Drosophila melanogaster: one gene and its partner. Changing the gene in region 2 together with the main gene of any one other region gives a genetic interaction. Each region holds a gene or a part of one and is shown on either strand. Other genes may lie near its edges.

Evidence for each region.
Region 1: of E(bx) (region 2) and Trl, changing one suppresses a phenotype caused by changing the other (phenotypic suppression), as found in Drosophila melanogaster (one study listed by BioGRID).

Annotation. Positions count from the first base shown.
Region 1 is NT_037436.4:14,754,930-14,759,676, forward strand, and holds the start of Trl (Trithorax-like), read right to left. Parts: upstream 3,034-4,747; 5' UTR 2,913-3,033; exon of another isoform or gene 2,555-2,912; intron 2,408-2,554; exon of another isoform or gene 2,402-2,407; 5' UTR 2,167-2,401; coding exon 1,975-2,166; intron 1-1,974. UniProt on the Drosophila melanogaster protein: Transcriptional activator that functions by regulating chromatin structure. Overcomes the repressive effects of chromatin by promoting the open chromatin conformation in promoter gene regions, thereby allowing access to other transcription factors.
Region 2 is NT_037436.4:243,891-248,641, forward strand, and holds the start of E(bx) (enhancer of bithorax), read right to left. Parts: upstream 3,023-4,751; 5' UTR 2,493-3,022; intron 2,434-2,492; 5' UTR 2,327-2,433; coding exon 2,038-2,326; intron 1,586-2,037; coding exon 1-1,585. Other genes in the region: mthl14 (methuselah-like 14), read left to right, coding at 4,111-4,226, 4,312-4,731. UniProt on the Drosophila melanogaster protein: Histone-binding component of NURF (nucleosome remodeling factor), a complex which catalyzes ATP-dependent nucleosome sliding and facilitates transcription of chromatin.

The DNA.
Region 1 (4,747 bases), about 15 Mb from region 2:
CCAAATAAAAACAATAACAAAAACAGTCGGACGGAGATGGAAATAATGGAAACTCGCGGTGCGACGCGTCGCTCACACTCTCCTCCGCTCACGCACACAGTGACACAGACAAAAGACAACCGGCTTTTACTTTTGCGCGCTCTGCACATTCTGCAGCAGGATTTTGAGATTTCAGATGCTGAAAAAGAAAACAGAGCAGCGCTTAAAGAAAGAGCGCTTAGCTGTTCTTCTTCTGTGTCCTCTCCCGCTCCCGCTCCCGCTCCAAACATTTAATTATATAGCATTGCTCAGAAAACAACCCCTCTCCATTTACGGACTCACCAACCAACACCCTCCCTTCATCCAATGCCAATCTCTTGAAATGACACATCTCACCGCACTCCCATTTGCGCTCTTTGAACTCTGCCTCCAACCAAAGTCTCGCTCATCGATTTTTCAGAGTTGCATTCCATTTGCCGTAGGAGCAAGGGAGAGGGAGCAAGAGCAACAAAGAGCGACCGCCATGTGTTTTTGCGTGCGTGTGTGAGTGTAACGAGATCAGTACATCTTGTACTTTTCGGACTCTTGCAGAGTTCACAGCCGCATTGGTCCCGTTCTTTTTGTTTTTTTTTTTTTTTCTTTGACATTTCCCCACGACGGCTCTGAGCGGCGTTTTCAAAAATTTCGCTCTGTTTACTTTTTCACGGCCCAGAAAAGGAGAGGAGAGATGAGGAGCGCTGAGAATAAGGGGGAGCGAAGCGCAGAGTAGCCGCTGTCGGCGTCGCATCAGGTGTTTTCATTTCGCTGGCCGCGCTCTGTTTTGGTCAGTATTTCCATTACGATAGGGCCACGCATTGAAGACGGTCCAACTTTCATACTTAAGCGCACACTTTGAACAATCGACAGAGTGGCGGAAAAGCGTCAAAGTTAAAGTGCAAATGAGTTGTTAAAAAGTACAGTATCGCAATACAGCTCATGAAAAAACTTGCAAGCTCCATTTAAAAGTGCGCCTTCCTAATATGAAATGCTTTAGTTTATAGAAATACGGGTTGGATTCGATACGAGGGAAGCGCACCAGACAGGCTTGCTTATCTTTGGTACAATCTGGACTTGGTCACTATGTTATAAGTTTAAATAAAGATTTGAAGTAGATAAGTCTATTAAAGTCCAGGAACTTTTAATTGAGCGAAGTTTGCTGTTAGACAATCAATCTAGCAATCTAAAATGGTGACATACAAAATACAAAAGACTTAGCTTAGGAAATGGGTTAAGGAAATCAAACCAATCAATACAAATTTAATTTTAATTATCTTTGTATATGTATCCATATTCCCCCCAATATTTCAAGTTCCCCCTAGCCAGAGCCAACTGTACAGTTCTGTCTGTGAAGAAAGAGGTCGCGCTCGTGTGCACCCAACAACAGCAAGAACCAAAAGGCAAGACGAAAGCTCCAACCATCCAACAACTACAACAGTTGCCGCGCTGCTTTTGGCGCTCTCGTTTGCGCTCGCTCTAACACATGCGATTTAAAAGTTGGCGCACCAGCTTTCGGCTCTCCCCTCTCTGTTACACCACCGGGCCCAAAACCACTTTTCTGTCGACCGAACCAACTGGTTCTCTCGCTCTCTCCCTCTCTGTCTGCGCTCTGTCTCTACGTCTCACTCTCTCGTTCTCCGGTGAACTTTGCAACAAGAAAAAGCTGATAAGCAAGATAGACGGCGGGAATGCGGGGGGCGGAGCCACTCATTCAACTCAATTGACAGTGGAAAACTTGTACAAAAATCTCTAGACAACTTTTGGAGCGGAGCGTAAATCTGCGTTATTTATACATATGTATGCATTTGCGTGCGAGTGTCAGTTTCTCTGCGCTCCAAACATTAACCTATTTCTGCGATTGGATTTCTCTGTTTACAAACTGTACGAAACGTTTGAGGTTATGTACAAGCTCTCTTATTGAAAGGTGTTTTAGGCAGTGTTTCCGAACCGAGCACTTACCTTTAGCAAGTCCAGCAGAAAGGGGGAGGCGGCGCACAGGACTATCTTGTGGGCGGGAAAACTCCGCCCGCCGGCGGCCAACGTGCAATCGACGAGGTCGCCATGGCAGCGCAACAATTGGATTGCCGATACGAGGCTGGTGCCGTAATCGCCCCAGGTGAGCGAATACAGCGAATTCATTGGCAGCGACATCAAAGCGGTCGCGTCCAAATCCAACAATTGTTGTTCCTCCCCAGCGTTGCTAGCGTATTCGCTGCTATTTGTCTCCAACACGACGATTTAATGTTTAACGGTTACGGGGAAAATTCTCTTCAAGTTGGGATTTTTCGCAAAAATCCCCTTTCTACTCCTCCTCCACGACGCCACTGCTTTTCCAACTCCCTTTGCTCTTCCTCTTCTTGCTGCTTGGCGCGCTGCTTTCTCGAAACTGAAATGAAAAATGGAAAAGAAAAAGAGTACAGACGTTAGTTATTAGCTCTCTCTCTCTCTCTCTCTTTCTCGGTCTCACTCTCCCGCTCTCGCACTCTTTGGGGGCCAGAGCGCGCGAGAGCGAGACAACGCATGTGTGTAGGCTGCTCACAGGAATTTTGTTGTTGGAGAAGACTTTTTCACAAGGGGACTGACAACTAGTATACAATTGATGTTTCAAAATTCGTTGCTGCCCACAAAAATCACACAAAAATAGCGCGCCACATTTAAAAACGCCAACAGCACACACACGCGCACAAACTCAGACAGACGGACAGCCGACACAATCACATTTTTTAATACACAGTACAGTCAAGCCATGAGACACGCATTTAATTTTTTTTTGTCACTCAGTTATTTTGTTCGTTTTATAATCGCATGTCTCTTGATTTTGTTATTGTTTTCCCGCTCACGGAGCGCACTTTTTTTGTTTGTTGGTTCGGTTTTGGTTTGTGAAATTATCTTCTCACCGGAGCGCAAAAGAAAATTTCAGTGGCTGTGGGTGATTTTGTGCCTTCTCTTTCTCTTGCCCGTACGCTTTTTTCTCCTGCTTGTTTGTCCGCTCGCCAACGTTGGATAACTCGAACTGAGACTGAGTAAATGGTTTCGATCGAATTTCGCTGCTCCGGCGCTGCCAGCGCGGCCAGTTTTTCAGTTCTCTACTCGGGGAGAAAATGTGTAATTTCTGTACTGCTGGTGGTGGTTATTTTGCGTGCTGGTGTGCGTGCGCGCCTGTATCTGTGTATCTATGAGAGAAGTGACCTGCCTGGCAACGCTCTTTGAAGTACAGTTGTCGAGCGGCATTGCCAGATGGAGCGCAGGAAGAGTATTTTTAGGATGGAGAGGAGAGCAAGACGGCAAGACAAAAAAGTCGGCAAGATAGTAAACAAAACTATAAAAGGTGGTAAATATTGAATGATGGAAATATTCTGGGCCGACTTCACGGATGAAAAACACATGTGTCCGACCGGTTGGAATATCAGAGTGCGATAAGAAAAAGGTCAACGGGATCCGTAGGTTCCGGTTCTATAACTATCGGATCCGGTATCAAAATATTCAACATTTTCTTATACTACTCCACTCTGAATAAGCTCAAATTTTACAGTTTAAAAATGAAGGATAAACAATTCAGAACGTTTTTGAATTATTCTAGCTAAGGTATCGAGCAATTGTATTAAAAATAAATTCCAACATTAGCTATGATTAAATCGATAAGCAGATTTTCGTAGAACGAGTCCCTAATCTAACAATTTATTATGTTTGATCACCAAAATCTAGAAGGGTATTGGGTTCAGAATAAATTACTTTCAGTTTTCTTTTTAAGATACCAGATTCCATTTTTCTGGGAACAAGTGTAATGCTACTGAGGGTTACACAGGAATCAAAAGAATCTGATAGGTTTAGATTAAAATAGACATGTATCGGGACTGGGTTTCTCTTCGGTTCCGAAATATTAACAGATCCTGTGAAAGTAATAATAACAAATGGTAGAAAAGCCGGTTCGCTCTTACGCTCTACATTCTCTTTCCCCTGTCTCTAACTCTCCTCTCTCCTTTCGAATCCAATCCAATCACCTGTTACTTTTGACACATCTCAGAGACCGAGACCCTACGGGGTAAAAACATATAGCCAGTCTCATTCTCGTATGCAGATCAAGTCCAGCTTAAGAGCGGAGAGACCCCGCGATAGGGAAGTTAGTCGAATTTGGAATTGAAGGAGAAGGAGAGTGGCACTTCTAGCCAACGCTCAGAGAAGAAAGTAATATAAAGTGAGCGAGTGTCCAAATTTTTAAGATTACAATTTTCTCTGTTATGATGCTGCTGGGCAGGGAAGGGGCCATGAGAAATGCCGTTCGAAATGCCCCTTTAAAGTTCCAATCGGCGTTAAAGCAGTGAGCATGTTTCATGTTTCGTAGCTGGCAATACCAACCAACGGAGCATGATGTGAGAATGAGGGAGAGCGTGCGCGCTGGGGGGTGTTGGTGGTGGGTGACTCGGCAGAGGTGGAGGAATGAGTGCAAACCAAGCACAGTGGGATACAAAACATAAGTGGTAGGAATAGAATTACTATGTAAAATTTTGGAATACATTGTATAACTGGTTTTTGTAAACAAATTGTATAAGCGTTACTGGACTATTTTTTCCATTGGCTAGTTTTTATAGTGCGTTTGGCCGTACGTTAGTTAAAGATTTTCAAATTAAATTTTTGTATTTTATTAAAATGTATGAAACTTTAAAACATTAAAACTTTTAAACAACGCTTTTGTCCCACCGTGCGCCAGCTCGACTGTTTGAAATTCGAACGG
Region 2 (4,751 bases):
TTTATCAATGTTTGCCTTAGAGTTGTTATCATATTGTCAGTAGTTCCCATGGTTATACCGATCCATTTAAAGTCAGAAGCCGTCGTTAACGAGAACTTATGGGACAGATGGCGTCGCTTATCTCGCTCCTCGTTTCGTTGCGGCTTGTTGAGTGCAATTGGATTTGTTGAATACTGGTTGACATAGTTCTTAAATCCTTGCTCCATGCCAAGTTTAAAATGCAAAGTACCATTAGTCAGCTGATTGGATTTTTGACGCGTGACCATTTTACATTCTTCTTGTTTTTTTGTTCCCTCTATAGATTGACTCTCAGATTTAGCATCACCATCTTTTTCATCCTCGTCAAGCACCTCTTTCTCCAAAAGTTCATTTTTAGCCTCTTGTTCGATTTCGATAACACTACGCTTCGTGTGTTTGTGTTCATTGGTTAAGGTCTCAGTCAGTTTCATTTGGCGCTCGATTTCGTCTCTCCTTTCTGTAATCTGGCTATGCAGACGAGTTTCCAGTTCTTCGGCGTCCAGTCGACTGAGCAGCAATTTTAACTTACTTGTCGTACTGTAATACCAGCATGTAAAGTTCTCCTGATCCTCGATAAAAATGCGACGTGCAATAAACCAATATTTGCGCCCATGACGATCAACACCGAGGCTATCATGCCGGATTAGCACGCCTTGTTTTTCTTGTGGCAACACGCAGTCCACTACGCCACTTACCTTATGCGAGCGGCAAAGCCCGCACTGCCAATCCTCAGTAGGTACGTCATTCATTGGCGGGTCTACACATTCCAAATGATAGACAGCAGGGCACGTCTCGCAACATAATAAATCACCGAGCCGATGGCACACTCGGCAATGGTCATCATAATGAATAGGTCCCTCCTGCAGCATTACATCTCGTATAGAATTGGAAGTTAAAAATTGATCTGACAGAAACTGGAGCACTTCAAGCCGGTTGTCAATGCCCGTGTAAGGGTATTCAGTGTGGCTTAAAATGTGAAACACGTTGCGATCAAATGTCTTATCGCTTTCTACATAGCTTCGCAAAACTTCCGGCCACGTTATAGAGTCAATCAGGTAAAGACTTATATTAACCGTATCTTTTTGATCCAGCGGGCCAAAATGTGTACCCTGCGCGTCCTCTTCTCGAAGAATCGCTTTAAGCAGCATTATGTGTACCTCCGTCAATAATGCACTTTGCTCCTCACAAGCCAGCGCTGCACACAAGTCTTCAAATCGGAATGGTGAAAGGCGGACCATGTGGCGAAATCGTCGCAGTACTTCATAGATACTTAGCGCGCGCAAAACGTGTGTATTAGCAATGAAAAGATCCTCCGACGAGTCCGGCAAATCAAGCGCTGCATACTGACGACCTTCCTGCAGCCACACAGGTTCTGGGCTAGGAGGACGTGGCGGCCGACCAACTCCATTTTGGTTAAAGCTGCACACGGAAAACTCTGATTCGCTCTCGTTGGCTACTTCTAGGCTCTCGTCGTCGCTGGGAGTAAGCAGCATATCATCCTCATTATCGGATTTATCTTCTTCGGAATCCCCAAAATCTGACCCGTAGTGATACTCCGACTCGTACCCTGAAAAGAGGAACAGTAGCTCTTAGAACCAATATGATTTCACCAACACCTAAGTGCATAAAACCTGACATACTGTCACTGCTATTGTGGACCCAATTTCTACTGAATTGTATTTAAGTAATTGTTATTAAACTCATGCCAACTAGACTGAAAGATTTTTTGTCGTAAGATTTCAAAAATAATCGTTGGTATTAGAGCAGATAGACCTATCGAAACTGACTCGCCCGGTAGTGGTTGTCACGAAAATATTAAATTTGATCTTTTATGAAGCGGAAGCTCTTTAACGCACAGGAAAACTCGTTTGAAGTATGAGTACCATTCAAAACGATCAAAGTTTTCTCCACTGCAATCAATATATGGCACATTATGTTCCCTATTAATCTTCGAACTAGTCAGAGCGAAACTGTAAGTCTTGACTCCCAAGTTAGAGTTTAGGTGCCCCTTTAACCCACCTTTCCTTCCAGAGTAGCTACTGGTGTTCGGTTGCACGGCGGATTTGCGGCCTCGTCCCCTCTTAGCGGCGCTCCCGCGACTGCGATTGGTGTGGTTGTTGTGGCTGCTCCTGCTGCCCTCGTCGCTCTGTGGAGAAATGCCCCTGGATGCCGACGGAGTGCTGGGCTGCGACTTTCCCTCGCTGAGATACTTCGGCTTCTTGAGAAGCTGGTAATTGAAGCGTCCTGATGCGCGTTCGTTGGGCGTCTTTGGCGGACGTCCACGTTTACGGCTGCCGCGACCGCTCATCTTGTTTGTTTTCGCCTTGCGTATTTATCTGGCTGTGTGCAGGGGTGCGTGGGGGTACTCTCCTCAGATATTGTTCCAAGTTAATGCTGCGAGGCTGCACATTAGATCTGAAACGAAAATTAACCCATTAGTACACGGTGCCACAGGAACGCACACCGCATCTCACTCGCACTCAGCTAGCTATGTATTTACGGGGCACATTCAAACACACATTTACTCAACAGCGTATGTGGGGGAAAAATCGATCAGATCGTCAAAAGTTTGTCGTTGGGTGTTCACTTTCTTTGTATTGCGCAAATTTGGAGTTGAAAAAAACCCGCCAAAAGAGCTTGTTTAGTTCAGAATAACGGTTCCGATTAAATACATTAAGTACATGTATTCAAAACACATTCTTGGCTTCTAGTGTTGGACGGCAAACGCACTGGACAGCACCACCAAGTTCGATTGTATGTGTGCGAGTGCGATGAAATGAAGCCAACGCACATTGTCCGCCATTTAAGCAACCGTGAAAATTTTTGCGTCTGTTTAAATGTCACTCTTCTTTCACAATTAACACATGGATTAACTGCGCAAATTACCCAGCATGTTGCGGAATAATTGCACAGGATTTAACACGATATATTCTAATATTTTTAACTATCTTCAGCACACTGCGAAAGAGACTTTTACCTAACATTACAGTTTTGAACATAGCTAAAGACGGTGTACAGTCGGCCAATCACAGCGACTCTTCTATTGCGTGAAGTCAGAAGCGTCCTCTTGCGGTCGGCTTGGAGAACTAATTCTTTATGGTTGCACAAACGATATAGGCAGGGTTGCTTTTGGCATTTACGCTGAACCGCACTGACAGATGTATTTTTATTTTTATCGACGTGTTGAGCGGGCGTTTAAAGAAAACCCGTTAACTTGTAATCAAAATAAACTTACCTTTGCTCACTATCTTAAAAATTAAAACGGTATTTTTGATGCGGTAAAAAAAATGTATTTTTTTGTAAATTTATTTTAGTGTATTACATTCTACCCAATTTCGCATTTTAAATCCTGGTGATCTCATTTCGTAAATTGCCGACCACGAAAAATCCATTAAAAATGTTATCGATAATAAGTTGCCGTTACGATTTTTTGTTTACTGGGAAAGGTTTTTATATTATTATTACTTAAATTTTTTAAAAAATTATTCTAAAAATACTAAATTAAAGTATTTTAATTGTGTTTGTTGAGAAATGTGTTATTGTTAAAGAAATTAGGGTAAACAATTTGCTTTGAAGCCCTGAAAACATCGTTATCTTATCGCCTGCACAAAGTGATTCCATTGCAGAATTAAAACTTCTTTTTCGCTAGTATTACTTTATTAATCAAGCTCAGTGGTTGCATTTTAAATAGCAAGCATAAATTATTTGACATGTACGTAAACAATAATTGCCATAAATAGTTTATTTTTAAAAATACAATAATTGAATAAAATATGATCTAATCAAATAATCAGTGCGCAAAAATTGACATTTAACGCGGTTTTGTATAAGTTGATGAGTGTAATTTTCCGAGTATTGATCAATTCTAAGGAATGTGCTACCACATTCGTCTGACGTCATGTGTTATATTATGATAACGCACTCTACTGGTATCTTACACAGATAAGATAGCCCATATCTTACCAGTTCCCACACCACCTAACTAATGTCAAAATTTGGTTTGTTTACATACTTTCTGTGTAAACGAACTCGGCAATTTTGTTTTATTCATTTTATGCTATATATTTTTTGTAGATTGGTTGAAAAGGCAATATGAATCTAGGCCACTGGAATTTTCTCCTAGCTCTAATCAGTTTACAAACGTTTTTTAACGCCTCCGCACAGATAAGCACTGTAAATAACAGTTCGAAGGGATCAAACAACTCAAAGTAAGAAATACTCAAAATATTTGTTTTCGAAAAATACTAATTTTGGAATCTTTGCATTTTCTATAATATATTTTGCTTTGCTTAGTATTTTCCATGAAGACACATTCAATAGCACTTCGATTGACGTTCTGGACGCCTCAATACATTCAACACTGGTTGTACCTCAAACATATTCGACAGAAGCTGCAACAATATCAGGTGCTAGGTTCGCAACCTCTGTTCCTGTTCAAAGTCCTGTAGACAACCCGTTAGATCCGGCGGACTGTTCTCAACGGGAAAAGTACAGAAAGCAACCAGTTGCAACACCATCGTCTCGTTTAAGAAAATGCTGCCCACATGGAGAAAACTTAAATATATATCGGGAAAATCAAAGCGATTCGATGTGCGACAACGGGCTCTTAAGCTTCGAACCGACTATAATAAGTGCAGTTCTGTTCGATAACTGCATTGAAGATTTGGAGGTTGAGACTACGCTCGACTACGACATTGGAAATCCGTGCAACAGGTATGAAAGCGAATGTTAAA